Linked DNA regions of Stegostoma tigrinum. The protein of the gene in region 1 binds, or shares a complex with, the protein of each later gene. Links are inferred from orthologs where the notes say so. Each region holds a gene or a part of one and is shown in the gene's direction. Other genes may lie near its edges.

What was found.
Region 2: the proteins of guanine nucleotide-binding protein G(i) subunit alpha-3 (region 1) and metabotropic glutamate receptor 4-like are in contact, whole or in part, in a cryo-EM structure (PDB 8JD6), measured with the Homo sapiens proteins. The link is inferred for Stegostoma tigrinum from reciprocal best matches to the Homo sapiens genes GNAI3 and GRM4. Residues at the interface, in NP_006487.1 of Homo sapiens: Ala31, Lys32, Val34, Lys192, Asp193, Leu194, Thr219, Phe336, Thr340, Ile343, Ile344, Asn347, Leu348, Cys351, Gly352, Leu353, Tyr354; in NP_000832.1 of Homo sapiens: Pro616, Lys619, Ala620, Gly622, Arg623, Glu624, Arg676, Ile677, Ile680, Phe681, Gln683, Gly684, Lys685, Arg686, Ser687, Val688, Ser689, Ala690, Ile694, Ser695, Pro696, Phe781.
Region 3: the proteins of guanine nucleotide-binding protein G(i) subunit alpha-3 (region 1) and short transient receptor potential channel 5-like are in contact, whole or in part, in a cryo-EM structure (PDB 8GVX), measured with the Homo sapiens proteins. The link is inferred for Stegostoma tigrinum from reciprocal best matches to the Homo sapiens genes GNAI3 and TRPC5. Residues at the interface, in NP_006487.1 of Homo sapiens: Arg205, Arg208, Lys209, Trp211, Ile212, His213, Phe215, Glu216, Glu245, Leu249, Ser252, Asn256, Lys257, Trp258, Arg312; in NP_036603.1 of Homo sapiens: Thr27, Glu32, Glu33, Glu56, Ile57, Tyr58, Tyr59, Asn60, Lys125, Pro128, Thr129, Leu130, Met131.
Region 4: the proteins of guanine nucleotide-binding protein G(i) subunit alpha-3 (region 1) and casr are in contact, whole or in part, in a cryo-EM structure (PDB 8SZH), measured with the Homo sapiens proteins. The link is inferred for Stegostoma tigrinum from reciprocal best matches to the Homo sapiens genes GNAI3 and CASR. Residues at the interface, in NP_006487.1 of Homo sapiens: Ala31, Lys32, Gln304, Glu308, Lys314, Asp315, Thr316, Lys317, Glu318, Ile319, Tyr320, Thr321, Phe334, Asp337, Ala338, Thr340, Asp341, Ile343, Ile344, Lys345, Asn347, Leu348, Glu350, Cys351, Gly352, Leu353, Tyr354; in NP_000379.3 of Homo sapiens: Lys644, Ala645, Asn647, Arg701, Val702, Val705, Phe706, Ala708, Lys709, Pro711, Thr712, Arg716, Trp719, Phe801, Ile869, Val872, Arg873, Thr876, Ala877, Ala880, Phe881, Lys882, Val883, Ala884, Ala885, Arg886.

Annotation. Positions count from the first base shown.
Region 1 is NC_081374.1:11,653,707-11,661,277, reverse strand, and holds the start of guanine nucleotide-binding protein G(i) subunit alpha-3, read left to right. Parts: upstream 1-4,354; 5' UTR 4,355-4,742; coding exon 4,743-4,860; intron 4,861-4,947; exon of another isoform or gene 4,948-5,053; intron 5,054-7,571. UniProt on the Homo sapiens protein: Heterotrimeric guanine nucleotide-binding proteins (G proteins) function as transducers downstream of G protein-coupled receptors (GPCRs) in numerous signaling cascades.
Region 2 is NC_081374.1:28,927,915-28,935,849, forward strand, and holds the start of metabotropic glutamate receptor 4-like, read left to right. Parts: upstream 1-4,730; 5' UTR 4,731-5,464; intron 5,465-6,232; exon of another isoform or gene 6,233-6,292; intron 6,293-7,935.
Region 3 is NC_081368.1:25,286,558-25,294,852, reverse strand, and holds the start of short transient receptor potential channel 5-like, read left to right. Parts: upstream 1-5,066; 5' UTR 5,067-6,028; intron 6,029-7,517; exon of another isoform or gene 7,518-7,827; intron 7,828-8,132; exon of another isoform or gene 8,133-8,216; intron 8,217-8,295. UniProt on the Homo sapiens protein: Forms a receptor-activated non-selective calcium permeant cation channel. Mediates calcium-dependent phosphatidylserine externalization and apoptosis in neurons via its association with PLSCR1.
Region 4 is NC_081365.1:36,572,327-36,580,116, reverse strand, and holds the start of casr (extracellular calcium-sensing receptor), read left to right. Parts: upstream 1-4,574; 5' UTR 4,575-4,689; intron 4,690-7,790. UniProt on the Homo sapiens protein: G-protein-coupled receptor that senses changes in the extracellular concentration of calcium ions and plays a key role in maintaining calcium homeostasis.

The DNA of each region.
Region 1 (7,571 bases):
TTGAGTGCTCGAGACGTAGAATGCATAGAAAATGTGAAAACGTTCAGAAAGAAATTTAAAAGGATTATTGGAAAGCAGCAGTAGGATGTCACCATCAGAGTGATAGAGTACATATGCACTTCCCATGATAAATGAATACTTTAAAGTTTAGAATGGAAACTGTTGACACATGATATGATAAGAAGTCACATGATGCAGACAAAATGTGCACATTGTACTTACGTTTCATTTTACACATTATTTAGATATTGCGTTACGAAAATGAGTAAATTGCATTTCATTTTAATTGCTACAGCTCAGCAATTGCTGGCCAACTCTTGATTGGTGAAGAAATTGATTGTTGTGTTTCTGGCATTACTACAGTGACAACACTTCAAATGAACTTAAATGGCAATAAAGCTTTTTAAGACATCCTGGTTACGTGAAAGATATTACATAAGTACAAACATTTCATTTTTATGATGTTTTATATATTCAAGTTGTCATCTATGTAAATAAATGTAATGGTAACATTATGATCTGTGGTGTTCTGGGTTTCGAAAGTGCCTTTTTCCAACTTCCTAAAATAATGTTGAAGTGTAACTAAAAAGGAGCTTGGAGAAGTGAGCTAAAATATATACTTTTTGTTGGTTTTCATTTGTTGACCAATTTGGAAATAAATATTAAAACCAGAAAGTTTCCTAAATTCAATTCCTGGCCAGTGCTGTGTTTGCAGTTCCTAGTATTTTTTGCCTTTACTGGTAGAGGGGTCAAAACGATTCACCATGGTACTTCAGAATATTGCAAGAAGAAAAACCATCACTTTCCGGTTGTGCAGTGGTAATGTCACTGGATGAGTAACGCAGAGAGCCAGGCTATTACTCTGAGATTCATGGGTTCAAATCTCGCCATGCCAGCTAATGGAATATAAATGCAATTAATGATTTTGGAATTGAAAGCTAATTAGTATCATGAATTATCATAAAATCCCATCAGGTTCACTAATGTCCTCTACAGGATAAAATCTGCTATTGAGTTTTGAGAAGATTTGTAGCTCAGGTTGAGGTTCTGGATGTAAGTTTGCTCACCGAGCTGGAAGGTTTGTTTTCAGACGTTTCGTCACCATTCCAGGTAACATCTCACTGATGATGTTACCTAGAATGGTGACGAAACATCTGAAAACGAACCTTCCAGCTCAGCGAGCAAACTTACATCCAGATCTGCTATCTTTGCAAGTGACTCCAAACTCACCAGTAATATGGTTGACTCTGAACTGACCTAGAAAGCAACACAATTCAAGGGCTATTATGGATGGGCAACAATTGCTGGCCTTGTCAGTGACACCCAGGTCACATGAAAGATTGAATGAAGGAAATTAAACTTCACCCATGCTGGAAATTGTTTATGATTTGATATTGCCTCAGGTTAGGGTTGAATTTTAGTTGCGACTTTCTCAACGGTTACCACTCAAGTTTTAAGTTTATACCTGTTGGACGCTCTTTCATGAAGCACCTTTAAAAATGAGTCCCAATTACTTTTTGATGCCTTGTAAAAATTAAGTCAGATACACAATGAACAACTGTTATGAAAAAACTTCATAACAGTATGTTAACGGATGTATTAAACTACATCCACCATAAAGCAATATTAGAACAGGTTTTTCAAAACCACCTGATCCAGGGAAATGAGCAGCAAATTGCCTTGTTCCTGGCCTTCACATCCCAGGAATGAACGTTGGTGAATGCCAAACTTTCCACTTTGCATCAGAACAAAAGCGGAAATGCCGAATGCACGCTCTAAACTGTTGTGTTTGTTTGAAATTTGGTTTTCTTACAATAGTCCCACTAAGACCAAGATGCAACACTTTTTCTGAAGAAGGGTCTAGGCCTGAAATGTCAGCCTTCCTGCTCCTATGATGCTGCTTAACCTGCTGTGTTCATCCAGCTCTACACCTAGTTATCTCACCGCGTCAATGTGTCTCTCTTTTGAGCAAATTCAAACAAATATAGAAGGAGGGAATATGTCAATATATAAAGAGATAAGTGTAAAATCTTTGCCCTCAGATGACTTTTTGTGTTGGGTGGCAGAACTTTAAATTCTCTCAACTTGCTGTTGGCAATCAGTCACTATTGAGTATGGTTGTCCACCGAGGAAATTCCATGTCACTAGTCATAGTCAACATGTAACTGATGAGCCTAATCCTAGAGCATCATCTCCAATCATACATTTGGAACGTAGGTGGAAGTAGTCCTTACATGTTAGTATTCCTTTCTCCCATTCCTTTCCCGCACTTCCTCTTGGCAACGGGTGTTCTCAAAAATTGTATCCCCTCACACAAGAGATTATTTCACGTCTGTTTCTTCTTAAATCTCTGTTGCATTTCTTCAGAAAGCCTTTGCAATGCTCCCTTTGGCCTCCGCTCATTCAAGCAGTGAGGAGAAGAACAGGAATGCAATAAAGGCACTCTCCTACCTACATGAGAGATAGTAAGAACTGCAGATGCTGGAGTCATAGATAATAGAGTGGAGCTGGAGGAACATAGCAGGCCAGACAGCGTCAGAGGAGCAGAAAAATTGATGTTTCGGGCCAAGATCCTCCTTCAGAGTTGTTGCTGTAGTACTACTGACCACATCTCTGCCCTCCCACTGCTTATGTCTTGGTGTGTCAGGTCTGAAATCACACGACACCAGGTTATAGTCCAACAGGTTTATTTAAAAACATGAGCTTTCGGAGCTTCAGTCCTTCTTCAGGTGTTAGTGAGAGAGGTAATATCAGACGCAGAATGTATAAGTAAGAGATCAAAGGTTCACACCATTCATGAGGATGTACTAAACAAACTTTTGTTAAATGTTTTAAATCTATTAAATTTTAATCAGTTAGAAGGTTTTAACTGATTAAAATGTATATGTAAATTCCCAAATTTCTTTCAAGTCATGGACCTGGAAGAACTGAAGATTTTATCAGTGTGAAGCAGAGGTGACATTTCGAACAGACAATGCATGTTAGGTGTCTGACCTTGATTAAAACTTGATTGTGTTTTTGTTCGGTGTCAGACTGGTTTTATTTCTAAAGTATTAATTTATAAAACGCCATATTGACTGACTGTCCCTAAATGGTGTGTTTTTTGAACAAAATGAAATGTATCTGCAAGTACAAATTCATCCCATTGATTCATGTGTGCGCGGGCACTAAATGGGGAGGGCAAGGGAGAGGGAGGGTGCGCGCGCGTGCGCGTGTACGGTGTGGTGGTAATAAAATGTGAGGCTGGATGAACACAGCAGGCCAAGCAGCATCTCAGGAGCACAAAAGCTGACGTTTCGGGCCTAGACCCTTCATCAGAGAGGGGGATGGGGGGAGGGAACTGGAATAAATAGGGAGAGAGGGGGAGGCGGACCGAAGATGGAGAGTAAAGAAGATAGGTGGAGAGGGTGTAGGTGGGGAGGTAGGGAGGGGATAGGTCAGTCCAGGGAAGACGGACAGGTCAAGGAGGTGGGATGAGGTTAGTAGGTAGCTGGGGGTGCGGCTTGGGGTGGGAGGAAGGGATGGGTGAGAGGAAGAACCGGTTAGGGAGGCAGAGACAGGTTGGACTGGTTTTGGGATGCAGTGGGTGGGGGGGAAGAGCTGGGCTGGTTGTGTGGTGCAGTGGGGGGAGGGGATGAACTGGGCTGGTTGAGGGATGCAGTGGGGGAAGGGGAGATTTTGAAACTGGTGAAGTCCACATTGATACCATATGGCTGCAGGGTTCCCAGGCGGAATATGAGTTGCTGTTCCTGCAACCACACAACCAGCCCAGCTCTTCCCCCCCACCCACTGCATCCCAAAACCAGTCCAACCTGTCTCTGCCTCCCTAACCTGTTCTTCCTCTCACCCATCCCTTCCTCCCACCCCAAGCCGCACCCCCAGCTACCTACTAACCTCATCCCACCTCCTTGACCTGTCTGTCTTCCCTGGACTGACCTATCCCCTCCCTACCTCCCCACCTACACTCTCTCCACCTATCTTCTTTTCTCTCCATCTTCGGTCCGCCTCCCCCTCTCTCCCTATTTATTCCAGTTCCCTCCCCCCATCCCCCTCTCTGATGAAGGGTCTAGGCCCGAAACGTCAGCTTTTGTGCTCCTGAGATGCTGCTTGGCCTGCTGTGTTCATCCAGCCTCACATTTTATTATCTTGGAATCTCCAGCATCTGCAGTTCCCATTATCTCTGATACGGTGTGGTGGGCTCGCCTGAAGTGCGTCGGCAGCTGAACTACAGCTCCCACAGTACCTCGCGCGTCGTGTCGGGGGAAGGGTGTCATTCGCAGTTGTGCTCAGGTGCATCGACGGCCGAACTACACCTCCCGTCGGGCCTTGCGCGTCGACGATTTCCGGTTGGGCGGGTTTCCGTTTTCTCAGTCTAACCGTCGCGGCTCGCTCTGGCCGCCCTCGAGCGATCGCGGGTTTTGAATTGTTAACGGTCCCTGCGGTTAAAACTTTACTTCTTTTAAGTGATCTTCTCCTCTCTCGAAGCGTTTGTACGCGTATTTTTTTTTCGATTGTGCGAACGAATTACCGATGTAAAAGAAGAAAAGAAATACATAAATTCCTTCTGTTTCGTTGCACCGCCTGAGAAGGGAGTTCGTGTTTTTTTTTCTTTTCGCGGCCCCCAACCCTTCCCCCACCCCCCAATCTCTTTTCCCCGGTGTGAGGGGATTTTCCTAAGGCCCCCTTCCTTATTCACCCTTGCTTTCGGCCCCGGAGTCCGGGTCCCCTGTCCGGCTGCCGGGATGGGCTGCACCATGAGCGCAGAGGACAAGGCGGCGATGGCCAGGAGCAAAATGATCGACCGCAACCTGAAGGAAGACGGCGAGAAGTCGTCCAGGGAGGTCAAACTTCTGCTGCTGGGTAATCAGTCGTTATCAAAGAACAATAGTAGCGGCGACAACAGAGCGCTTTGTAACTGCACTCGAGGCCGGAGTTGTAGGTTTCTCTGGGGTCTCCAGGGTCTGACTTTGACTCTTTAAAACCTCAGGCTAACACCCAACCCTGCGTCCTACCCCGGTGTTAGAAAAGATTCGAGTTTCAGATCAAAGGCAGGGTTCGTATGATTTCTCTTTGGGGTTTGAATTGGGTGTGAACCCACTGAGGTGGGAGTTTATTTTTTTGCGGGGCTGAAGATCGGAGAGTTTGCCCGTCTGCCGGAGGTGAAGGTTTGGGGTTGGGGGATTATTTAGCCAACACCCGCCGGAGCTGAGGGTTTTGAGTGGATTTTGCCCACCCGCCGGAGGTGGGGGTTTTGTGGGGGGTGGGGCATTTTGCCCACCCGCTGGAGGTGGAGGTTTTAGGGGGTGGGGGTTCTTGACCACCCGCCGGGGTGGGGGAGGGGGAGTTTGCCCACCCGCCGGAGGTGAGGGTTTTGGTGGGGGGGGCGGGCGATTTTGCCCACCTGCCGGAGGTGAGGGTGTTGGGGCGGGTGGGGGATTTTGCCCACCTGCCGAACGTGGGGGTTTTGGGCGGCATGGTGGTGGGGGATTTTGCCCACCTGCCGGAGGTGAGGGTTTTGGGGGGGAGGTGGGGGAGTTTGCCCACCCGCCGGAGGTGAGGGTTTGGGGGGGGTGGGTGGGGGTTTTGCCCACCTACCGGAGGTGAGGTTGTTGGGGCGGGTGGGGGATTTTGCCCACCTGCCGAAGTTGGGGGGGGAGGGGGTGGGGCATTTTGCCCACCCACTGGATGTGAGGGTTTTGTCGGGGTGGAGGATTTTGCCCACCTGCCAGGGGTTAGGGTTTTGTGGGGGTAGGATTATTTAACCCACACCTACCAGAAGTGCATTTGAGATAATCCCTCCATCCAAATGTACAGTTGAGGATGCGAGATTTTACCCATTTGCTGTGTTTGCAGTTAAGATCATTTATTTACCCATTCTGTGAGGGTGCTGTTTTTGCCCTGGTGTGGGAGATTGACTGGTGAGAAATTTGGATGATTGGGGAAGTGCTGATATGTTGCAGATTTCTGATTTCAAGGATGTGAGTTGGCAAAGACCATAAAGTGAGGTGAGGCAATGCTGTGGCTGCAGTATGTTTCAAGGGCATTTGGGTGGATGTTAGTGTATTTGCTTGGGTATTATAAACGGAATTCTAATACATAATTCATTCCTCATTAGCCCACAAAATACATTGCTTCCATCCCACTGAACTGAGACATAGAATATTGTCATTCATTGCCCTAGGGATGGAGTTTAAAAATATGGAGATAACGCTTCAGCTGGAATACTCTGCACAGTTTTGTTCCCCTTAGTTGAGAGAGGATATACTGACACCGGAGGGGGTGCAGTGGACTTTCACCAGGTTGATTCTTGAATTAGGAGTGTTGGTTTATGTCAGAGTTTGACTAGTCTGGGACTATACTCATTGGAGTTTAGAAAAATGCGTGGGGATCTTATAGAAATGTAATGTTATGAAGGGAATTGATAAGATAGAAGCAAAGAGGTTGTTTCCACTGGCAGTTGAAACTGGAGCTAAGGGCATACTCTCACTATAAGGAAGAGCAGAATCAGGCTGAGTTGAGAAAGAACTTCTTCACCCAAAGGGTTGTGAATCTGTGGAATTCCATGCCCAGTGAAACAGCTGAGGCTATCTTATCTGTTTTTATGATAAAGATTTTTGAACAGTCAAGGAATTAAGGGTTATGGTAGATGGGTAAATGGAGATGAATCCACAAAATGGTCAGCCATGATCTTGCTGAAATGTGGAGCAGGCTCGATGGGCCAGTTGTCCGACTCCTACTCCTATTTATGTTCTAATGAGACAAGGTCCAGCTGCAAATTGTAGCTGTGACTGTGGCCTACCCCAACATGGCAGTCTTTGCCAGCTTACATTAGAAGTTTAGTAATAAGATTACTGGATAAAATTAGTAAGTTTCAGGAACAGGGAAATTCATGAGTCAGGGTATAATAAAGATTGGGTCCCTCTTGTCCACACTTCCCTCCCCTCCAGCTTCCACATCCAACAGATCATCCTCAAATACTTCCAACTCCATGAGACTCCACCACCTGGAACATCTTCCACTCCCCATCCCTTCTGCCTTCTGCAAGGACCATTCCCATCACTATTCCTGAGTTCTTACCACACTCCCCACCAACCACTTCTACCCATTTGGTACCTTCCCCTGTAACTGTAAAATTGCAGCACCTGCCCACACACCACCTTGCTCACCTCCATCCAGGGCCCTAAACAGTCTTTCAAGTTGAGACAGAGCTTCACTGACATCCTCCAACCTCCTTTATTCATTAATGGGATGTGGACACTGCTGGCTGGGCAGCATTCATTGTCCATCCCTAATTGCCCAAAAGGTAGTTGAGTCAACTACGTTGCTGTGGGTCTGGAGTCTCTCGCAGGCCGGGCCACATAAGGATGGCACTTGCCTTCCCTAAGGCATATTAGTGAACCAGATGGGCATTTCCACCAGTCAATGCATGGTCATCATTAGATTCTTAATTCCAGATATGTTATTAAATTCAAATTCCACCGTCTGCACTGGCAGGATTTGAACCCAGGCTCAGAAGTTATCAAACACTCTGGATTACCAGTCTAGCAATAATACGACTAGGCCATTGCCTC
Region 2 (7,935 bases), about 17 Mb from region 1:
TACAATGCCTTGCCAGCTCGGATAGTGAATAAAATTCTAACTGTTTGGCGAAGGCTTGGCTTTGTTTTGGAGTTTTGCTGTGTGTGACTTCAAGTCCACCTGTTGAGGATATGCCCTACGTGAGGCTATGCAACTGCCTTTATTCAAATGGTATTCCCCAAGCTCAGTTGGACTGTGAGGGTGTCCATTTCCATCAGAATACCCCACAACTCTCATGCTCCACTTGCCACATTTTCCAATGACAAGGCCAGTTGTATTGCCTGTTTGAAACCCAGTTGGGTTTCACCTAGAAGGGGTTTCTGCATTGTTACATCATTAACCTCACATACCAAATGGTCTTCAGCATCTTATTAAGCGGTAAACCAAAATTATATGCCTCTGCCAGTTGTAATAACCTCAAAAATCCCAATACTGACTCCCCTGATTTTGTAATTGTTGAATAAAACTGACAGCCTCTTAGAATTAGATATGGCTTGGAGTCATAATATTCCTTAGCTAACTCTCAATTCTTGGAAGGTTGTAGTATCTGGTGCCTCAGAGAAAGTTAGGCTCAGAATAACTACTAGAGGTGGTAGCCTCATGGTATTATTGCTGGACTGGTAATCCAGGGACCTAGATAATGTTCTGCAAGCTTGGGTTCAAATCCTACCACAGCAGATAATGGAATTTAGTAACCAAAAAAAAAACTCTGGATTTAAAAGTCTATTGATGATCATGAAGTCATTGTTGATTATCCAAAAAAGAACTGATTCACTAATGCCCTTAAGGAAGGAAACTGCCATCCTTACTTGGTCTAGCCTACATGTAACTCCAGACCCATAGCAATGTGGTGACTCTTAAACTGCCCTCCGGGCATTTAGGGATGGGCAATAAATGCTGGCCTAGCCAGCAATACCCTCATTCTGTGAAGGAGTCAAGGAAAAAGCAGCTGCAAGTTGTCAAGCTACCCAGAGAAATACTTATTGCTTTTCATCTGCCCCAAAATCATTTGCCCAACAAAAAGCACATCTTTCCACATACTGGGCCCAGTCTTTGATGACAGGATTGAATGAGTCAAGCTTCCCAATAATGCCAGAAATTCTTAACCCAACTCAAAGACAACTGTTGCAAGTAAGTTTCTTCAGGGGTGTGCATTTGTTTCACCATCATTGAAGTAACTCGATGGAAGCTGGTATCCTATCACCAAGTCCCCCCTTATGGCTCCTTTAGATCCAGCTCAGTGTGAACAGGGTGTCTGACATTCTGCTCTATAAATTGGTCAACCAGGGCTCCCTGATTGGATCCTGATGATTAGGGAGCATTCTCCTCATATTTGACTGCCTTTAGAACTTCTTTTGTAACATTTTTTGAAATTGGTGAGGGACTTCATCAGTGTCACGTAAATCATTTATTTAAAAGTGAAAATCTGATAAAAGGAAAAACATCAGGCACCTCCTGTACTCCAAATTCCACCCACAGTTCAAAGTGGAAAACGGTTTTTTAAAAAAAAAAGCCAAAAAGAAACTGCATGTTTGCTATTCCAAATCTCCTGGAAGGACAATATCAGTCAGGGTATTGGCTTAAAGTTAATCAGTCACTGTCACAGCTCCAATTAAGTTCAGGTTTCACACAGACCTTGAGACAGCAGTCAAACCATTAGCTAAGGAAAACAATATCCTGAAAGAGAAAGAATCAAATAACTCAATTGAAAATGAGAGGGAAGGAAGATAGAGGTAATTGTTCATTTCATTATTTCTTGTAAGCTGACAGTACTTTTGTTTAATACATATTGGTATTAAGAAAAACATTTTTATTCCATGTAAGTTACACAGGTGGCATTGATCAAATATGTTTTAGTTGTGATCACTATAAGAAACAGGTACGCAATCCAAACAATTATCCATTTTTTTTGGTCGTACTGCATACTGGAAATTTCAGCAGGTACCATTTACATTTTAATCTTGAAGTTTTTGAAAGAGGCGAAAGGAATGTGATATATTTCCAGATTTGAACATTTGTAATATTGTCACCTCCGCTGCCATCTCTGTTGGTTACCAATTGATGCTTAGTTACAATGAGTGCACTTTATGAGCGTTCTTCAAACCATCTTTTTCTAGTCAACCTGTTCAGAGACATCATTCCATACCTCTGGAGCATGTGAGACTTGAACACGGGCTTCTTGATCCAGGGTGCTTAGCTTCCAAGATCGAATGTTTTGCTACTAGCGTGGCTGCAGTGATGGGTGTTCTTCAATGCAATACACACAAGACTTTACCCAATTCGGGTCAATTGTGTTATGAAATTAGGCAATTGAGGCTTTGGAGGTAAAACTAAGTGACAATTCATGAACACGTTACGCAGGAAGGGGCCCCACTATAATATGGAAAACGTGGTGAGGCCTTCTGTTACGTGTTTGCTTTAAATAATATAGTAAGGTCAGGTCTGCACTCAGGTAAGTGAGCGTTGATTGACTTTGAGATAGGGGCGAAGCGAGTGTATTTGAGATCCGACATAGTTTTTACGTTCCATCTCATTCTGCCAACATTATGAAATCGCCAATTGAAATCGACCTAGTAATTATTGCAGCTCATCATACTATAATAGTCAGTGTACATGGTTATCCTCTATAATAAGTAACTATCTTGCGCATGTTTTTCACGGAACGTTTTGAAAAGGGGTACTTTAACACAAACCAATCCCGCTAATTGAAAATAGGATTTAATCAGAATATTATAGGCATATAATGTCTTTAAGTACCCTCCTTTTGCATCAAACGAATGTTAAAACATTTTATCTCGCGTCAACCCTCCGACGATGTTGAAAGCAAAAAGAAATGCGACGTTAGTTTATAAAATTCCAAATATTGGTATAACTAGGAATGGCTGTGAATAAATCTTAAATGAAAAATCTGATTATTCAGGTATTATTCACAGAATACTTTCTCTCACTCACTAAACAGGAAAATTTAGACTTTCAAAGGGAGCCAGCGGGCTGGTGCTGCTCAGACATCCGGATATTTTGTTGGTTCAAACCCAACAATCGATAGTTGAAGCAGATCTGAGCACTAGACGGCGCCTTAAACCGTCAAACAGAGCGCCAAGCTCTCTGTTCGGTTTCAGAAGATTAGAAATGCGGCAAACTTTTTGGGTAGTAGGAGCAATAGGATGTCGTATTGTAACGGCAGGCTTAATTATCCTGCTACACCTCAGTTTAAATAGAAGCTCCCAATTTGCTTATCTTTTAGCATTCTGTTTTGACAAACAGAATGCCCTTTAAAGATCAAGTCGATATTAAATTACTTACAAGAGGATTAATTGGACTTGGTGTCACTTGGAGGTTAACTAAGGGAGTTGCACTAATTACACATTAATTCCACATGTAGGTACTTGTGAACCGTTATTGCAATCACCAGCCGCTTATTCTTCAGCTCGAGGTGTTCCAGTGATTTTTACCATCAATCAATTCAACTCCGCAATTCCCACTTCTGTAGAAAATACACTGCTCAGTGTACGCTCCGTCAGTGATTCTAACAGTTTCCCATCCTCCCTAACCGCGTTGTACGTCACTTTCACCTGAAGGATGGTTGCACGTGCTTTACCCTGAAACATGAAAGCAAGGCTCAAACTACCAAACTGTATATTTTTTTAAATAACCAAGCGATTTCGGAGTTTGTGTGCGTTGAGATCCTCACACACTAGTCCTCCCTCTTCTAGGGAGAATGTGCCTTCAATACGTGCGCTGTTGTTTGTTTTTGGTATACATTATATATCTCCTCAAATTGCCTGGGCTGTTTGCTGGATATTATCCGTTGGTCAATATTGCATATGGGGAAACCCACACTTCGCCAGAACTCAGGCTGTGAGCGTTTCATTACTTTTGCGAATCAAGCTAAGATTGTTGCCAGCTGAGAGCTGTTCCAAACAAATATCGGCCATGTGCAAGGTGCATGCTACGAAGCTCAAGTTTTCAGATTCGAAAAGGAGGACAGGGATCCTTAAACTAATTTTGCTGACATCTCGGTCTTCGACTCTGCGTATAGTTTTTGGGAGTCAGACAAACCATGGTCTCATCGACTGGCGGAGCAGGATCCAGGGGCCGAATGGCCTACTTTCGCCCCTGCTGGGAGAGCCACATCTGTGTTGCTGGACGTTTCACCTGCCCACTGCCATTTGCGCGATGCACTTACTTTCATGCGCCACCTCCATCCAGTTATTACCCATTTCAATGACTTGAATTTGAGATTGAGACTAGTTCGAGTTCAAAAGAAAAACCCCCTAAACTTCAAGGGACATTTTTTGATTTGCACCCATCAAATTTATTAGGAAAGCTCTATACATAAATCAATTCAACTCCGGAACAGTGATTATTAATTTAAGGTCAATTAAAATCCGGTCTCCATTTTGTGTTATAGTTAATCTTATTTCTTGTTTTACGTGTGTACTTTGTTCGAAACAACTTTTTCTAAAAGCAACATTTTCCTTTTGATCACCATAGTTACATAAATTTACTGACTTCTTTTCCAAACCAGATGAAATGTACTGAAATTCCAGGTCGTCTTCAAAAAGGTACTTCAAAATGATACTGACAGACGGACATTTGGAAAACGTTCAGTACACCTCTGGTACAAACTGAAACGCCTCGTGTTTAATGGTGCCTTCACTGAAGAGAGTGCATTGGTTTAAGTGAGCTGGCCCCAAGGTTCAGTAAAATAGTGAAATATGCGATTTGAAGCAGTGGCTGGGCGCCGCTTTTTGTAGCATCGCAAATGTGTTTTTTTTTGCCTCAGCAGGCGAGGACCTTCTGATTTTAATCATTTGGGAATTGAGTGCTGGACGGAAAGAATTGTAAATGAATGCCCAAAGCCAAATATCGGAATACAGTCGTTTCCACCCACCCCCCGCCGTCTCCGCCGCCAAGAACCCAGATCGATTTCTGGAATTATGATCGTTCTGTTCGTGCGAAATCCAATTCGTCTGGCAAAAAGAGGAGCTCTTCGCTATGTTAAATTGACGGAATAGGTACCTGTGAGCGTAGGGAGGCGGCAGGAGGGAGTTGCTGAGATGTGAAATCAGCGGCACAGAGCTAGCGGAATCCCTGGCTTTTTTTAAAAAAACAGTCACTCGGAGAGCCGGATGGGAACTGAAGACATTCATTACAAGACGTGTCGTGTTGCGTAGGGTATTTATACAGTTCGGTTCGGTTTCGCCTCCTGGCTCACTGGTGGCGAGGAATTGCAAAGGCATAAGACGGGTCCTCGGAGCGACTCCTTGTCATCAATGGATACTTTCCAGCCGACTTAGACCGTGGGTCGTTCCAACAATTCGTGGGCGATCCCACTGGCGCTTGCTCAAAAGCAAGCTACCACAAGCTTGTAGAATTTCAGAGGCAAAGCTGAACGTGAAGACTGCACAGGACCAGCGAGCTGGAACCTCTCTATTTACAATGACTGAGCATCGCAATCTCCAACTACAAACCCCGTCTCAAGGTATGGTGAACTCCTCTTTCCCACCCCACTCTACCAAATCAAGCCCGCAAACCTCAGCCGCCGTTAGCTGTCCGTGTGAAGCGGGCTGCAGTTTCCCAAACGGTGGTTGGGCTCCGACTATTCAACATTGCGCACGGACTGTTTAAAGCAGGGCGGTTACACATAGCGGAGGCTCCGGGCATCCTGTTTAACACAATAAAACAAAAGTTGCAAATACTGCAGAAGTTGCCCTCTAGCAATGGGCACCATTCTCGGTAGCTCACCTTTTAATGAAAAGCACCTGGGGAAAGAGATTCCTTGGTCTGGTAGCTTGGCCGGAACCGATGTGGGGAAATTGAGGCCGGGTTGATTTAAAAAGCTATTTACATAATTAGTTGAGAGATGTGCAGCATACGGAACCCCCAGTGGGATTACCTTTCGAGCAAGGTTGATGCTGGCTGTTAATCTCTTTATTAATGACACATCTATTGCATCAATAACAGTCAACATAGGATCTGGGAAAGAAAAGAGCTCTCGGGATTAAGCTGGGCTGTACTGTTATTCAAATTGACGGGCGGTGTGCGGGTAGCGAGTTTGCTGGATATGGGCAGCGCTGATCTGTCCATGGTGCTGAACTGACTGACGACAGGGTTAAAGCCTCTTGTTATCCTGTGCACTAGAAATAGGGGGAGAACTTTGCATCGCTTGCGGATATATCCATCTGCTCTGAAGTGAGGTAGTATGTCTCCTTCATCACTGCAGGGCTAGTAGGACATGCAAGAAGACTATTTTAAGAACTGTTTTGATTCTTCCGAATTAAAATCTGCTTCAGCTTTCAACGAAACACAGGTATGAGAGGATTTTAACGAGGTCATCCCACAGTTCTCAATGGACTGAAATGGTGCACGATTAGAAATTAAAAAAAACATACTTAAGTCAGTTGATGGAAATCGGTGTTCTAGTGTTCCATAAGTATCTCCCGGTTTCAATGGGTCACGTTCCGCTTTACAATATAGTGTGTAATGAGATGCAGCTGCTTCAAGCTGTTAAGCGATTCGTTCGGATAAAGGGGGATGAAATTAGCTTTGCTTTGGGATTTGAAAAGAGGCACGCATCGATTCTAATCGGTATTAATGTGAAAAACAGACTGCACGACCTTTCCCCTTTGTTAGAATAATTGCAGTTTGAATCTTATTTTCAACTGCTGACAGTACTTTGCTAGTTGCAAGAAGGTAGTTACTAGCTATTTCTGCAGAGTGGTTAAATGTTAAAGAGCTGGGTGAAACCTTGTATATTTCACATAAACATTGAACACGTCTCAATAAGTCGACTTACAGACCTTCCCAGATAGGATGGAATGAATTGATCATTTTTCATCGGAAGGGTAGAGTGACTAGTACTATCTATGCACGGGAATGTCAGACCGCCAAGGTTCATTCTGTTCCGCCCTCTCCGCCAGCGTTCCCATTGCCCACAGTCCCACACTCAAAGCGCCTCAGAGCCAGAGAATGACGAATATAATAGTGGTTAGACTAAATACTTAAGACAGGGACATCTGATTGCTCTTTTCGACGGCCCACGGTCATAGTAGCAGCAGTATTTTAACATAGATGGGTTTTATTGGGTTTGATTTAATAGTTGTGTAAATTTATTGGGTACAGCGAACAGCAATTCGCCTGTCTGGGTCAGGATAATATACTTAAGAACGTTCCTTCAGATAGATTTATTGTGCATGCCGATATTACCTCAGCTAAGAGAAGTTTAACCCTTTCAGATTTCTGCCCATACATAGAACATGCTTCGTACTTAAAGGGGAAGCAAATGATGCATGATTTATAGTTAATAATGAGCTATTCCTATATCATATTATTTGGATAGCTTAAATAGCAATCGAAGTTCGTCCTTGGAAACATCAGCACAGTAGTTATTTGCTTGTATAGTTGGCATTACAAAGCCTAAGACACCTTTGTTGCAATAATGATGTGCATTATAGCAGACATTTACTTAAAAGCAAAATGGTGGTTGACAGTAATGGGCAGTTTTATTCTTTTTACTTTGTAGACAAGTAGCACAGTTTAAAAACAATGATTCTATTTCAAGTCCAGTTAGCTTTTGTGTGCCACCAACAAAACAAGTTATAGTACTGGCAGGGGTTCTGTGTTGTGACTGAATAGGACTATTAGGCTCTTAACACTGTCGTCCTGAAAGAAAGACAGGCTTTGGAGTCTGTTTTCATTCAAACCCTGAGGCCAATGTTTGACCATACTTTTAGTTCCAGAAATGGCATGCACTAAGAAAGGTGACTATAGTACGGTAGAGTTTTCATTGTGGGTTCCATGGACAACCAATCTCAAATGTCATCCAAAATTGTGCCAGTTTTGAGAAACACTCTTCTCTTGAGTTTCCACTCAACTAATTTACACTAACCAAATTCTAACTTAACATGAAGCAGCAGCATTGGTCAACATTTTAGAACTTTTTTCTTTCAAGTT
Region 3 (8,295 bases), on another chromosome or scaffold:
TAGAGGAAGCCACACCGTGTACAATGGATACAGTATACCACATTGGCAGATGTGCAGGTGAACATCTGCTTAATGTGGAAAGTCATCTTGGGGCCTGGGATGGGGATGAGGGAGGAGGTGTGGGGGCAAGTGTAGCACTTCCTGCGGTTGCAGGGGAAGGTGCCGGGTGTGGTGGGGTTGGAGGGGAGTGTGGAGCGAACAAGGGTGTCATGGAAAGAGTGGTCTCTCCGGAAGGCAGACAAGGGTGGGGATGGAAAAATATCTTGGGTGGTGGGGTCGGATTGTAGATGGCGGAAGTGTCGGAGGATGATGCGTTGTATCTGGAGGTTGGTGGGGTGGTGTGTGAGAATGAGGGGGATCCTCTTGGGGCGGTTGTGGCGGGGTAGGGTGTGAGGGATGTGTTGCGGGAAATGCGGGAGACGCGGTCAAGGGTGTTCTCGACCACTGCGGGGGGAAAGTTGCGGTCCTAGATAATTGCCTAGATAATGACTAGATAATTAACTTGTTTGATGAGAGATTTCAGCTTTAGAGCTGGTCAAACCATTGGGTTGATTATTTAAATATTTAGATCTTTCCTTTCCTACTATTTTACAGCCATCTAGGTTATGGTGACTAAGCATTTCAATATATAAGATATTTCCTAAATATTCAAACTAGCCCCACATATACGCAAGTTCAAAAATTTTTTAAAAATCTATTGATATCTTGTCTGGTACAGATCTGACTTTCAAGTTATATTTGAATGCACAGTTGGATCGAAATGTACAATCCTGAGGGGTCCTGGAGACTTATTTTTCTCTGTTGCACTCTCCCTTTCTCTTCCCTAACCAAAACTGCAAATGAATTCAGCTCAGGTAATGTCAATTGTCTTTCAAGCACACATTCATCCCCAGCATCAATTGTGCTGTAATTGATTATCTCACTTGGACAGCATATAAGGATTGCTGATGTGAAAAATCAAAATTTCACAGTTTAAGGCACTATTTGAAGACTGAAGATCTGTTGGTGAAACACAATGATCATTAAATATTATGCCTCTGACCTGTGCATGTTCATGTATCAATAATCTGTTACACTTAATTCAGTGTCATGTCATTTCCATTGCCACTAAAATCATCCAATGTTGGGAGATGTGAGAGACATCAGAGAGGATGTAATTTAGGAGATGTGACTGTATTTAGAATGCCTATGGAGGTGCATGGATGTTCACTGATTACTTTTCTAATTGTGGTAATTTGTTTCATCTTTGGTCTGCATGTTGATAACAAAGTTTTGATTGTATAAACCACTTTGAGATAGTTATCCAGAGTAGAGAAATCACATCTGTTCTTCAGTCATTGAAATCCACGTACTGAGGTGTACAAATGGCATTGAATTATTCTGCCTTTCACGTGCAAAGTATTTGATCTGAATGATTTATCGTCAATTGTGTGTTATAGCGAATAATAAAGTAAAATAGAGTGACCAGCTTCAACTGTTTCCATAATTCAGCCCCATTTTGAGTAGCTTAAGAATATAAAGAATAAAAAGATTTAGCTGAAAGAAAGTCTTTCTTCGTTCTGCCACATCCTTCATGAGTCCTGAGCCCTGAGCTGGCTCACCAACAACACCTGAGTCACCAGCCCTCCTCCACCATCTCACCAGCCAGACATCAGACCCACCAATGTCAGAACCAGCATTCTTCAGGCACCATCTCTTCACCACTGGGCCCACCTTGCCAATATCGCTGCCAATACAGGGTCCAATGCTGGACCCACACACACCCTGCAACCAGAAGCCCCATCTGTGTCTTCTCTCAACTTTATTCCTTTTGCCTAAATGCGCAAACATTGCATTGAGATACAGTTCATGGGAGCTGGCTTACCCTTTGAATAAGAGTCTGTTCTTCATGTATTAGTATTGACAGTGCATTTGGAAGTCTATTGCAATCTTCCAGTGGAGGATGGGGAAGAGATTAGCGCTGGTGTTTGTACAAATGCATTGAATATGGGTATGGGAGCCATGACATCCACCTTTACTAGTCAAATCGGTGAAGCCAAATGTTACACTCCAAATGCAATGCTGGCAAGAATCTATTATGAATGCACAGATTTTTGGGCAGCACGGTGGCTCAGTGGTTAGCACTGCTGCCTCACAGCACCAGAGACCCAGGTTCGATTCTAGCCTCGGGTGTCTGCCTGTGTGGAGTTTGCACATTCTCCCCGTGTCTGCATGCGTTTCCTCTGGGTGCTCTGGTTTCCTCCCACAGTCTAAAGATGTGCAGGCTAGGTGGATTGGCCATGCTAAATTGCCCATAGTGTTCAGGGTTGTGCAGCCGAGGTGGGTTATAGAGGATTGGGTCTGGATAGGATGCACTGAGGTTCGGTGTGGATTTGTTGGGCTGGAGGGCCTGTTTCCACACTGTAGGGACTCTAAATTCTAAATCTTAGATTGAGTTTCAAACATTGCATGCAATAATGTGCCCCAGTATTGGCACTGAGGTATTAAAATCAAATCACACATACAGAAAGTTTAAAGCAATTATTTGCAATTTTACTACACAGGAAACTCATAATGGAAATTGCTGCCACTCAATAAAAATATCCAAGAGACTGTCATTATTTTCTTTGGGTTCAGGAAATAAGACTTACAATATGACTATAAGAAAAATAAACCAGAAGTAAAGCTTAAAATAGAAAGTATGCATTTTTTCATCTAGTAAAATAAAGTATTTACTATACAACATTTTTTTTCCCTTTATTCATTAACAGGATGAGGGTGTTGCTGGCCAGGCAGCATTTAATACCCATCCCTAATAGCCCGAGGATAGTTTCAAGTCAACCACATTGCTGTGGGTCTGGGGTCACACGTAGGCCAGACCAGTAAAGACAGCAGTTTCCTTCCCTAAAGGATATTAGAGAACCAGATGGGTTTCCCCAACAATTGGCAACAGATTCACAGTCATCATTAGATTCTTAATTCCAGATATTTTTTATTGAATTCAAATTCCACCATTTGCCATGGCAGGATTCAAACCAGTGCCCCCAGAATGCTCTCTGGGTCTCTGGAGTAACAGTGCAGTGATAACACCACTAGGCCATCACCTCCCCTTTAACTTTAAATTGATTTCCTTTTTTGTTTACACAGAAACAGAAAACCATGACAAACAGCAGTGACAGGAGTAAACGGTATGCTCCCCTTAATTGCGATATATCTGAAGTGCCCAACAATCAATCCCTGTCTTGAAATACTCAAATAATGAGCAAACACAGCCCTCTAGAACAGAAAATCCAAAGATTCACAGATTCATGCCTTGGTGAATGAAGAAATTTCTTCTCATCTCAGTTCTAAATGACTCCTTGTTTTGATTGTGAGGCTTCGCAGAGAGGTTAAAATTGTAGCAGAGATAATAGGAACTGCAGATGGTGCAGAATCCAAGATAACAAGGTGTGGAGCTGGATGAACACAGCAGGTCAAGCAGCATCTGAGAGCAGGAAAGCTGATGTTAGTGGCGTCACCACCATGGCCTTCTAAGTCATACAGTTCCAAAGTTGCATAGTCCTTTGATAGAATGTTTTTCTTTACCTCATCACTAAAAGGAGAATCGCATTATAAACAAAAATAAAAATAACTGGAGAAACTCAGCAGGTCTGGCAGCATCTGAGGAAAAAGGGAAGAGCTATTATTTTGAGTCCGTTGACCTTCATCAGTTGTCCTGACAGATGCTTCCAGACCTATCAAATTTCACCAGCAACTTCTGTTTTGCTTCAGATTTCCAGCATTCACAGTTCTTTGTTTTGTTTCAGTTCTGTGACTCCTTTTTAACAATGGTTGCAGACTACCTAAGCAACTATGTCTGTTTTTAGCTGAGGAGACAAAAACTGCACACAGCATTCAGGCGTGATTTGGAAAACAAGTTCAATTTGAAATATTGTTTTTATAGTTAATCTTGATTAGTAGTTGAGCGCTCCCCTGAATCTTTGCTGTCTGCTCTTAATACACAATTATTATGCTCAAAAGCTGATGAAATACGTCAGAGGCTGTGATAGATTGCTGAATAAGTTCAAGCATTTCCAGAGCAATGTATTCTTAATTCACCAATGACCAAAAGATCCCAATTCTGTCACCACCAGTGTCTGTGTTCATCACAAATTTGAACCAAAAGATGGCTTGTGACTGTGATTTAACTGGGTGTAATCTGACCTGTTGTAAACTCTTCCTAATTTACTTAATTTGCTAAAGAAATGTTTTGCATAAAGTTTCTCTTGCCCCCATTGGCTAACATTAAAAACAATTCCAGACTACTCATGTATCTGCACTATTCACCTCTGATTGCTATTCTGATTTGTTCTCCCACTTACACACATTAGCTGAAGAGGTTAAATTGCACATACATGGAAGCTCAAGGGATATATTCTAAAAATGAAAATAAGCCATTTGTGACAAATGCCTAATTTGTTTACATACCATTAATAACACATTCTTTTTTCACTCCACTTTTAACCCAACCCACATTGTTTTATCCTCCACACCAGTGTATCTGAATAATGACGTTGAGATTGTGAAGGGGATTGACAGATTAGCAGTTGTTTTAGCAATAAAAGGCTGCCCACTCTGCTGTATCAGTGCCACCTTTGGCTCCATTAAACTTTCTTGCACCTTTATTCAGGGGATCATGAGTTCAAGCCTCAATCATGAGACACCAGTACTTAATGCAGGCAGGTACTTCAATGCAATGCTGCTGGCATGTTATTTTAGGGATAAAACGAGACACCAAGCTCCAATGAATGTGGAAAATTCCATGGTACTATTTGAAGAAGAACAAAAGCATGCTCCCAGATTTGTGTAATAATAGTCAAACACCCAACAACTAATAATAGATATTTTGGCTTTTTGGCTTGATGCAGTTTGTCAGAACTTGTGCACACCTCAGCTGTTACATTTCCGAGACTGAAACAGTGACTAGACTTTACAGGAACCTCATTGGCTACATCATGTATTTGAATATCCTAAAGGGGAGAAAGGTGCTACTTAAATCCAAGTTCTTTCCTTCCTTTGGAGATTGCAGGGTCAAGCCAAATCACCCCAGTTTTTGATTGTCCAGTGCTACATTGTTTAAAAAAGATCCCCTGGTTCTTGTCTATTCTGGGCAGTGAGAGCGCATGGGGAAATATCAAACAGATTCCATCCTGAGCAGCAAGGGGCCAAATGCTTTGCTAACGAGATGACAACAACATGAAGCATTGGAAACAGCAGTGTTTTCTTCAGCTCCCCAAACACCGGCGATCTCTGAAAGGGCAGGATGGATAAACAAAGGAGAGAAGAAGGAATGAGAGGATGAAAACGAAAGAAACGAAGGAGAACGCGAAGGAAAGAGCCTCATAACTTACCTGTCTCGGTTGCAGTGTTTGTGTGAGAGGCAGCCCCCGCTCTTGGGAGCATGTGTCAGCCCCAGTCGCGATCATACCAAAGGCTGATTGACTGGCGCCTCTGTCACATCAATGCAGAGCTGTACCTACATTACTGACCTATCGAAAATCCTGTCATCCAACAGAGAGAGAGAGAGAAGGGAAAATAACCTCCTGCCGTGGCTCCAGCGAGAGGGCTGAAGTGTGCCGGCTATTGTTAGAGGTTCGGAATGTACACCCCAGCCTCTCCTGGCTTCGCTATCTCGATGGAGAGCTGCGCGACCAGTTCCTAAAGGAGGATCTGGGGAAGCCGAGAGAGACTGACAACACACGCTTGTCTCCTGCACTTTTACCAGCAAGCCCCCACCACCGCGCCCCCCAGGCCCCCGAACCTGTAGGATATAATAATGTCTCCGACACGTTAAATTAAAAGCGAAGTGTCTTATGGCGGAAAAGTTCATTTGCACAACCGTCGTGTGCAGAGGGGAATTTTAAAAACGTTTGGGATCTTAACGATCTTCAGCGATTTACATTGTATCGTGCCGCGAAGTCTTCAGGATGACAACGTTTGTACAATTGCTGCGTTATAAATTCAGCGAAAACTACACTGCACCGATTTATGGGGGGAAACTAGCGTACAGGTAAATATAAATGTCTTTTTTTCCTGTTCTACTGCACCTACTTGACTACCTTTAAATCAAAGAATAAAACCTTTGTTTATTCATTAAGAATGACAACGTTTAGGATTTGGAATGATGCCACTGCGCGAGGCAAATGTAGGGTATTTTCTATACTCTTGTATAAACCACGTAATGAATAGGATAGATTTTAAGAAATAATCATGTTTAAAAACAAACACCAAAATGGACCCAGTAGACAGGGATCTGAACCGGTCCATCCAATAGCAGGCGGTGTTTCACTGGGGAGCTGTAAGATCTGCTCAGATGGACCTACGGGCAAAGGCTGGCGCTGGGAAGGTGTACATTTACAGTTACTCTGAACTCTTTCACACCCATGTTCTCCCCCACCATTACACAGCTTCTTATTTTAACAAGTCAACCGAATCTGTCAGGCGCAATAAACAGCTCAGTAAGTTTTCATTAAATCCGTCTGGAAAAAAGAAAATGCACTTTGCAAAATTTGCTGACAGTGGACAGATCTCGCCTTCAGACGATGGGTCCAATAAATCGACAGAACCACAAGCGCGTGAAACTACCATCCATTTCTGACTTGTTTATTTGGGGGGAAGTAGGCTGGGGTTTAGCGTCTCTCGGTCTTAACGGGTGGGTCTTGTACAAATTGCTCGTAGTTCTTTATTTTTGAATCTTCATCTTTGGTTCTACTGCACAGTAGTTTATAATATAACGACCCTGCCTGCCCCAGTGAGGCAATTCGATGACAATTTCAGCATCGAAGATACTAGTCATCTATGAACTGTGTGCGAGTCTTTCTTAATGGGGTCTCATCTTGCCGAACAGCTAAAGCCATTTCTCGGACTGTGGCAATATCTTCCCCCGCCAACCCACCCATCCCCAACACCCCATTACTAAGGTGTCCTGTTGAACATCACAATATCACAAACAGTGCAATTACTATCAAAGGCTGCTTTTTAGCAGCCAGCGGAGGGAAACAGCCTATAACATTTACATAGCGTTGTCGGTACTCACTATCTTTACAATCTCATTCCAGCAATTTTTAAATTGCCCCTTAGACAATTGCACAAATGTAAACATTCACAGCTGCTACCGGGGCAGAAGGGTTGGGGGTCTAGTCTGATTAATGCCGGGATCTCTGTTGCTGCAGTAAATAGTAGGGAACATGAAAGCTCGGGGAGCGGTCTTGCGAAAGAATTAATTATGAACTATTTGTTGAAGTGTTTAACATTGAATATTTAACCAGGGTTAGCAAACACCAATCTTGACAACTGGCATTGACGAAACAGTGACCGTGAGGCTGAAAGCAAGTAGTTAACCCCGTTTGGTTACGTTGTTCTCCCCCCAAAAAATTGAGGAGATTTATGAAGCTTTTCACTGTTATCTGTAAGCGCATTGACGTACGCTAGGGAGGTTCATTCTGATAGATATGATTCCAATTTCCGACCGAATCACCCTTCCCAGGAACACGTCCGTTAACCCCAGGGCTCACAGGCAATTTCACAAATCGACCACAAACTGGGGAAAGTCTGTGCGCGCAAGCCTTTAGAAGATAAATTCTAGGGATTCACCTCAACTGCGCCATCTCCAAAAGAAACGAACGGAACGGATCGAGTGAAGGGGTAAATTTTATTAGCGGTCACGGCTCGTAACTTTGGCGGAAGAGCTGTGGAAATCCCCAGAGAGAGATGGAGAGAGAGAAAAATACCTTGCCTAAGCGGTTTCAGAGCGTTTCCATCCAAATCACGTCGGGGAACTCGCGCGGAGATTCACCCCATAAAGTAAAGGTAAGGTCCCCATAGTCTGCACAGACCGTAGGGCTGCTCCGTCTTTAGAGAGAGAGATAGAGGGAGCTGCTGGTGGTTTAACCTGAGGGTCACCACTCCTCAGGTGAGGGCAGAGGTGGAGAAACAGAATCACTCATGGTAGCCTCAGCCAATGCGAGAATTGAACCCATGCGCCTAGACTTACAAAAAAACGACTAGATGACATAATGCAGAAGAAATTGCTCTTAGCTGAACACAGCAGGTAAGCAGAGTTTCGTGGCACCAATCCACCCAAAGGGAGTAAGGGAATAGAGAATAGCTCAGGACTGCGGTGCCATTTGCAGCGTCACTCTCTGTGAGACAAAGAAAACTGAGTTGGAGTCCCATTGCTTCCTTGAAGACCACGGCAGGTACGTTAACAGTCACTTCATAACATGACAGCTTGCAATTCGCAATAGTAACAACTTCCTATAGGCCGTGGGAGACCAG
Region 4 (7,790 bases), on another chromosome or scaffold:
CTCTGTAAGAAAGAACATGTGTCAATGAGTATCTGTAATAGATTTCTGTGATGTTAAATATATGAGATTCAACTACTAATTGATAGAAATTGTTGATAAGAGGGTAATGAGGATGTAGTGCATTGAGCACTAAATAATCATGCACAATTGGTAGACTTTTCTCCTGAATATATTCTTTATGTACAAAATATACCAAAGCATTTGGTTTGACATATGGGAAGGTGACACCCTAGTGGTATTATTGTTAGACTATTAATCCAGAAACCTAGTTAATGTTCTGCAGATCCTGGGTTCAAATCCCACCTTGGTAAATAGTGGAATTTGAATTCAATTAAAAAATGTGGTATTAAGAATCTACTGATGACCGTGAAACTATTGGCAAGCGTCAGAACACAAATTCTCTCCAGGGAAGGAAATCTGCCATCTTCACCTAGTTTGACCTATATATGACTCGAGAGCAACACGGAAGTAGCTGACTCTCAGCTGCCCTCTGAAATGGCCTGCCAAACTACTCAGTTGTATTAATTGTGACAAAGTCTCAACAAAAAAATGAAACTGGATGGGCCACCCGGTATTAACTAGGCACCAGAAGAAACAACAGAAAAAAACAAACCTGTCAACCCTGAAAAGTCTTCCTTACTAACATCTAGTCCCAAATTGGGACAGTTGCCTCACAGACTAGTTAAGCAACAACCTGACATAGTCATACTCGTGAATCATATCTTACAATATCACAGACAACACTATCACCATCCCTGAATATGTCTTGGAAAAACCCAGCAGAGCTAGCAACATAACGTTGTACTGTCCGGGAGTCCTCAACATTGACTCTGGTTTCCCTGAAGTCTCATGGCTTCATTTTAAAAATGGGCAAGGATACCTCCTGCTGGTTACCATGTACTGCCCTCCCTCAGCTGATGAATCAGCACTCCTCCTTATTGAACAACACTTGGAGGAAGCACTGAGGGTGGCAAGGGTACAAAATATATTCTGAGTGGGGGATGTAAATTTCAGTGCCACTGATGGAGCTGGCCCAGTCCTAAAGGACACAGCTGCTATACTGGGTCTGCAGCAGATGGCAAGGGAACCAACCAGAGGGAAAATCATACTTGACTTCATCCTTATCAACTTGCCAGCCACAGATGCACCTGTCAATGACAGTAACAGTAAGAGTGACCACCGCACAGTCCTTTGTGGAGACAAAATCCTCCCTTCACATTGAATATATGTTGTATAGCACTATCACTGTGCTAAATGGGACAGATTTAGAACAAGATCTGGCAACTCAAGACTTTGGACATCCATGAGGTATCCATCAACAGCAGCAGAATTGCACACCCGCACAATCTGTACCCTCAAGGCCCAGCATACTTCACTCAATCATTACCATCAAGACAAGGGTTCACCCTATTTTGATGGAGAGTGCAAGAGGGCATGCCAGGACCAGCACCAGGCCTACCTAAAAATTAGGTATCAACCTAGTGAAGCTATCAAATAGGGCCACTGACATGCCAAACAACATAAGCAGCAGTGATAGAGCTAAGAGATCCCATGACAGCAGTTGAACGGTGAGAGGAGAGATCCTAGTTCACCCAGGGGACAATGAAGAGCCACATAGTTGAATAGGGAAAGAAAAAGGATGATGCCAAATGGGGTCTGAAGGGATCCAAAGTCAAGACGTAGTCAATCGAATATAAGAAACAAATTGACTAAATGGTTAAAATTAATGTGAATCCCACTAATCCATCTGTTTAGACAGGAGGTAGTTAAAAAGAAGAAAAAAGAAACAAAGAAGACAAGGCCTTGGTATTGGCACTTGAGTTCATATAAAATTAATAAAATGCCCGAATCATTGGGGAAAGCAACATAAGATGTCCAAAGTAATGCTGTCTGAGCCTGCTTTTTGTGTTATGGCCCCGTACTGAATGTCAACTCTTAGTGGTCTGGTTTGTGTCCATTTTCATCTTTTAGTTATTAAAATGTTGTTTGTGAATTTATGCGTTTTCGTTCCCTGGAGCTCAACGTCTGGGGATCCTGTGAGTTTGGTTTATATTTTGGGAATGTATGATGATGTGGAGGTGTGGTGTGTGTGTTCTTATCAGTTGAAACATTTATGGTTATGATGAGGAACCTTTAAGGAGCTATCAGAGATAGTAGGAACTGCAGATGCTGGAGAATCTGAGATAATGAGGTGTAGAGCTGGGTGAACACAGCAGGCCAAGCAGCATCAGAGGAGCAGGAAAGCTGACGTTTCGGGCCTAGACCCTTCTTCTGAAGAAGGGCCTTGACCCAAAACGTCAGCTTTTCTGCTCTTCTGATGCTGCTTGGCCTGTTGTGTTCATCCAGCTCTACACTTTGTTATCTCAGGAGCTATCAGTGGTTGTGTAAAAGAAAGACGTGCTATGAAATGTTGATTTACATTTGTTTCTCGGAAGCCTGGTTAAAAAAAATCTTTTTGGAACTGTTTGACTAAACCCAGTTGAAGAAGGAAAAATCAAGTCAAATGGCATAACCGACATCCTCTTTTCTTAAAATACTGTACAACCCGGGTTTTCTGTAGTTTGAGGAAAGAGCTCTGTGAAAATGCTTAATTTCAGGATCTTTACAATTGAATAATCATGTTTGGAATTTCATTTCCTGGCCTGGCCAGAGTGAACTTCTGAATATTATTTTAACCACAATTGAATCTTTAATTCCGAATAGCGTCCTAGACCCAACAATTGTCAACAGCTTCATCAATGACCTTCACTCTATCATAAGGTTGGAAATGGGGATGCTGGCTAATGATTGAAAATGTTCAGCACCATTCACAACATCTCAGATACTGAAGCAGACCATGTTCAAATGTAATAAGATCTGGACAATATCCGGGCTTGGGCTGACAAGTGGCAAGTAACATTTGTGCCACACAAATATCAGCCTACGACAATCACCAGTAAAAGAAAATCTAACCATCATTCCTTGACATTCAATGGAGTTGCCAACACTGAATCCCCCACTATCAACACCCTGGGGCTTATCATTGACCAGATACTCAACTTGATACAATTGCTATAAGAGCAAGTCAGAAGCTAGAAATACTGCGGGGAGTAACTCACCTCCTGTCTCCCCAAAGCCTGCCCACCATCTACAAGGCACAAGTCAGGAATATGATGGAATACTCCGCACTTGCCTGGATGAGGGCAGCTCTAACAACAGTCAAGAAGCTTGACGCCATCCAGGACAAAGCAGCCTAGTTGATTGGCACCACATCCGCAAGCATCCACTCCCTCCACCACCAATGCTCAGTAGCAGCAATGTGTACCATTTACAAGAAGCACTGCAGAAATTCATCAAAACCCTCAGACAGCATCTTCCAAACCCACGACCACTTCCATCTAAACAAGGGCAGCAGATACATGGGAACACCACCACCTGAAAATCCCCTTCCAAGTCACTCACTGTCCTGACTGGGGAATATATCGCCGTTCCTTCACTGTTACTGGATCAAAATCTCTGCTTGAAGACACTGTGGGTCAACTGATATCATGTGGACTGTAGCTGTTCAAGAAGACAGCTCACCACTATCTTCCCAAGGGCAACTAGGAATAGGCAATAAATACTGGCCAGCCAGTGATGTCCACATCTCACAAATAAAACAAATGTTAATTCATTTTATTGTCTTGTGAATCTGTGTTAATGAGGCAAAAAAATTGTTATCCTGAGGAGAAATCATCCTCAAGTTGAGGACAGTCGACAACAATGAGGCATTTTCATCTGAATCCTGATTTTACTTAAAAAAACTATTTATTCTCCTGCAATATATGCATTCTATTTTCACAGATGTTACTATTACAAAAACATTTTTCTTATATCTGGAAACAAAATAATAATGGTTTGAAGTCTTTGTGTATTATCATACATTTTGGCCAGTTTAATATTTGTAGGCCTTAACTGAAAGAGCCATACAATACAGGAACACTGAAGGAATTTTAATCTATGATTCCTTACAAGTCTCTGGAAGATTTACATTCACAATCACTACCAAAATAAATGAAGGAACTCTTTTTCTATTGGGCCTGGTGTAGGAGATATAAAAACCATGGCTCAAGGAGGCTTGACTACCGGACTGCAGGGCTGGGCTTTGATTTTATGTGTTGGTCAGGTTTGGAATTCTTGTATCTAAAAAAAGCCTTGCTAATTAGTGGTTAATGGTAATGAAGAGATGCATACTACCTTGAAATTCCTTTGTTTTGAAAAAGATCCCAACAAATTTCTTTCAACTTGAAATGATTGAACTGCAGCAGAGCTGTTCTTGAATGCAATATGCTTTCAAACAATGTCAGAAATTTCCTCACTCTTTTGAAACACAAGATTCAACAACTTCTCTAACAGTAGGACGATCGAGATCAATCATTAACCAAGATTATATCGTTTTGACCTTACTTAGAGTTTAGCGTGCATTGCATTAATGTGCAAAAGACTAAATTGCATTGAATTAACCCCAAGGAAAATATTGTTAGCTGAACTTCCCTGAAATGCAAAACAATACTGCTGGTCACCATTACAGGAACATACATCTGTGTTAATGAAATATTTCCAGCTATCAGAAGGTTATTAAAATATTTCCATAAGAATGTCCTCAGCTAAGGAAACTTTCCTGCAAGTCTCCTATTGTCATTGCATGAATAACTGACCAGGGTACCAAAGGTAAGAATTTGTTCAATCCCATTGCAGATCAGTTGTTTATTTATATTCTTTTTAGTAGAATTTGTAATTGCACTATAAGCCATATGTCCCTCTCTGTGGGTTTAACATGAGGTGAGATGGACAATAAACAGACTACAGCCATAATAAATCACTTTCAAGAGTGAAAGTGAACAGAATAAGTAATGACAGAGCTTAAAATGTGAGAACAATGTCTACCTATCAAAAATCATCGTTATTTCAATTGAAATCAAAAGTTAGGAATTAACCAGTAAGTAATTATATGTCCTCATGCGGGCCTTACATGAAGCACCGACCATCACATAAACATCAAATTAATTGTACCCCAAATATTGAACAACTAATGTGGTCCTAATGTGAGTTCTAGAAATAGGGTTTAAAGGGGATTGAATAGAGCGTTAAAATGATAGAATCTTGCTGGAAAAATGATGACTGTTTTTATTTGAAACAACTTGCAACAGATATATTCATCAGATAATTTCAGTAGATATGTAGGTTTGGAGCCGTCTAAAGTTAAAAAGTTGAGATCTCACAAGAAAACATCTCTGGAATTTTCAACTTTCTGCCCGGGTGGGAAATTACCATCACAATCATTTGCTTAATTTTCCCTTTCACGGGTTTCAATGGAAAGGGACATTGAGCAGCTTCTCTAACAGATGGTCAATTCTAAACATTGGATAAATGTTTAATCAGCAACATTCTACTTCTATGCATCAACATAAAGACATAATTGAGCCAATGAATATTTCAAAAGCAGCTAAAGTGCTTTCTTTTTAGTTAGATACATTGGATATGCACTTTTGAAAGGTATAATAGGAACGTTTGATTAAAATTCTCAAATAGAGAAATGTGACTTTATTCTGATGACTTTCTGCTGGAAATTATTTGCAGATGAGTTGTACCATGCAGCGAGCAAAAGTCAACTGCTTTCTGCTTCTCTTCTACCGTGAGGTTGACTATCTGAATAGATCAACTACATGAATGTTACCTTTCTTCACAGTTTTCAACACTGTGGAAGCATTTCGACTAAGAATTTTATTTCCTGCAAATACTCACTAAATTGAATTTAAAAGGAATTTTCACTTACTTGTGAAGTTAACAATATTTTGACTGTCATGAAGTGCAAATAACTTCAGGACATTATGACAATTCTGCAGTCCAGACTATGAATGTACCTCTGCATTATGGATCAAGAATATTAAAATCATTAAAAAGGCCATAGGCCAAAATAATGACAACACTTTCATATATTTAATTTAGTGACATGTTTCATTTAGTTACAACTTGCATTTATATGGATCAATAAGATTATAAAAGTCCTACATTGCTTCACGGCAACATAGTCTGTCAAAAATTGGAGCTGAGGCTGAGAAATAAATATTCGGAGGGGTGACTAAAAGCTTAATCAAAGAAAAAGGAGGGACTTACAAAGAAAAAGGAGGAAGATCTAGAAAAACAATAAGGGTTAGGAAGGGAATTCCAAAGGCCAGGGCCTGAATGGTTAATTCTATAGCCAAGAATGGTGGGGTCAAGAAAGTATGGCTTGCATAAAAGCCCAGGATCAATGCAAAGGAATCATATGGACCATTATTGCTACTGAGTTTCTGCCTAATGGGCATTGTTTAAATCAACCCTTGAATTTTTTTCCAAAGGATCTGTGATGGTAGGAACTGCTTACATAGCACTCCAAATTATAATTTCTTGTTATCAAAGCTTAGATATCACAATGGTCTAATGCAGTGGGAAACAGCCTACAATACGTTAGTATATATTTATCACCCATAGCCAGAAGTTTGAATTTTAACTAACACGTAAAGTTCTTTAAAGAAATAGATGTGTATGGTTGGCTTGTTTGACTGGGTAGTTATTACAATTTGAATTCTTCACCTGCTAACTGAAGAGATACTTGTGCGCATACAGCTATACTCAGTAAACTCTCATCTTAAAATGTCTGTATGAACAACCAACTTGGGTAAGGGTTAACAATTCAAAAACTAAATTGTTCAAATGTTTAAAGACTGAATATAAATAGTTAACTCATTGATTCTTGAAAAAAGTCCCCTTATTCAAATTAGTTCATGATCAATGATATTTTTTGAACGTGATGTGGTTATACATCTTCTTGCCACATTTAAAAAAACAAAGAACAGTAAAGCACAGGTACAGGCCCTTCCCCTTCCGAGTGTGGTCCGACACATTCATTGTGGGCCCAACATCCTTCCTATACATTGTAGAAGCACTCTGCTTTGATTCATAATTCAACAAGGTAGCGCCAAACCTAAAGCTATCCTTGTTGAGAAGACATATCACGATGAGGAAATAGAACGCATAATAACTGTCTAAACACAAAATACTGTGGATGCTGAAAATCTGAAACAAATACAGAGAATGCTGGAGAGACTCGGCAGATGTGGAACTATCTGTGGAAAGAGAAACAGGGCTTATATTTCAAGTCTGATAAGGCTCTGAAGAAGTCAGACTCAAAATGTTAAATCTGTTTTTCTCTCTATTGATATAAAAATAACTATTTCATTTATTTTAAAGAACAACAAAAAGTGCAGCATTTTCCTTTAGTTTCTTTCCTTCTGAGTACATCTGAATTCCCTACATTTTGTAGTTCTTGTTGTTTGGCATCTTTTATTAACTTGTCTTCTAGCTTGGTTGTAGCCACTAAAATTGTTTGGTCACGTGAGTATTCCTGGTATGAGCTATAATTCTTGTCCTTGTTAAACTAAAGCCTCTAGTTTGCTTTCTATCTTATTCTATACTGCTACTGTTTGAGTTTCCCCTCCTATTAATAAGATACCTCTAAAGATGTTTGTGATCTCTTTCTAGGGGCATGTCTACTCTGAGACTACATTGTCCTAAGAAAATGATTGCTTCCACTCTTTCACAAGGAATGACCACTGTTTTCAAAGATTTTAACATGCTGTCATCTCCAGATCTGAAACTGGTAGAAGTTTCAAATTCCTTAACTTTGTCCCATTCTATATTACTTAGAAAATCTAGGCAGCCCTTTGGCCAATCTAATCCATAGGCTGTAGATGTGCATCCACTGTCCAATACTGTTCGATTGAAAGACT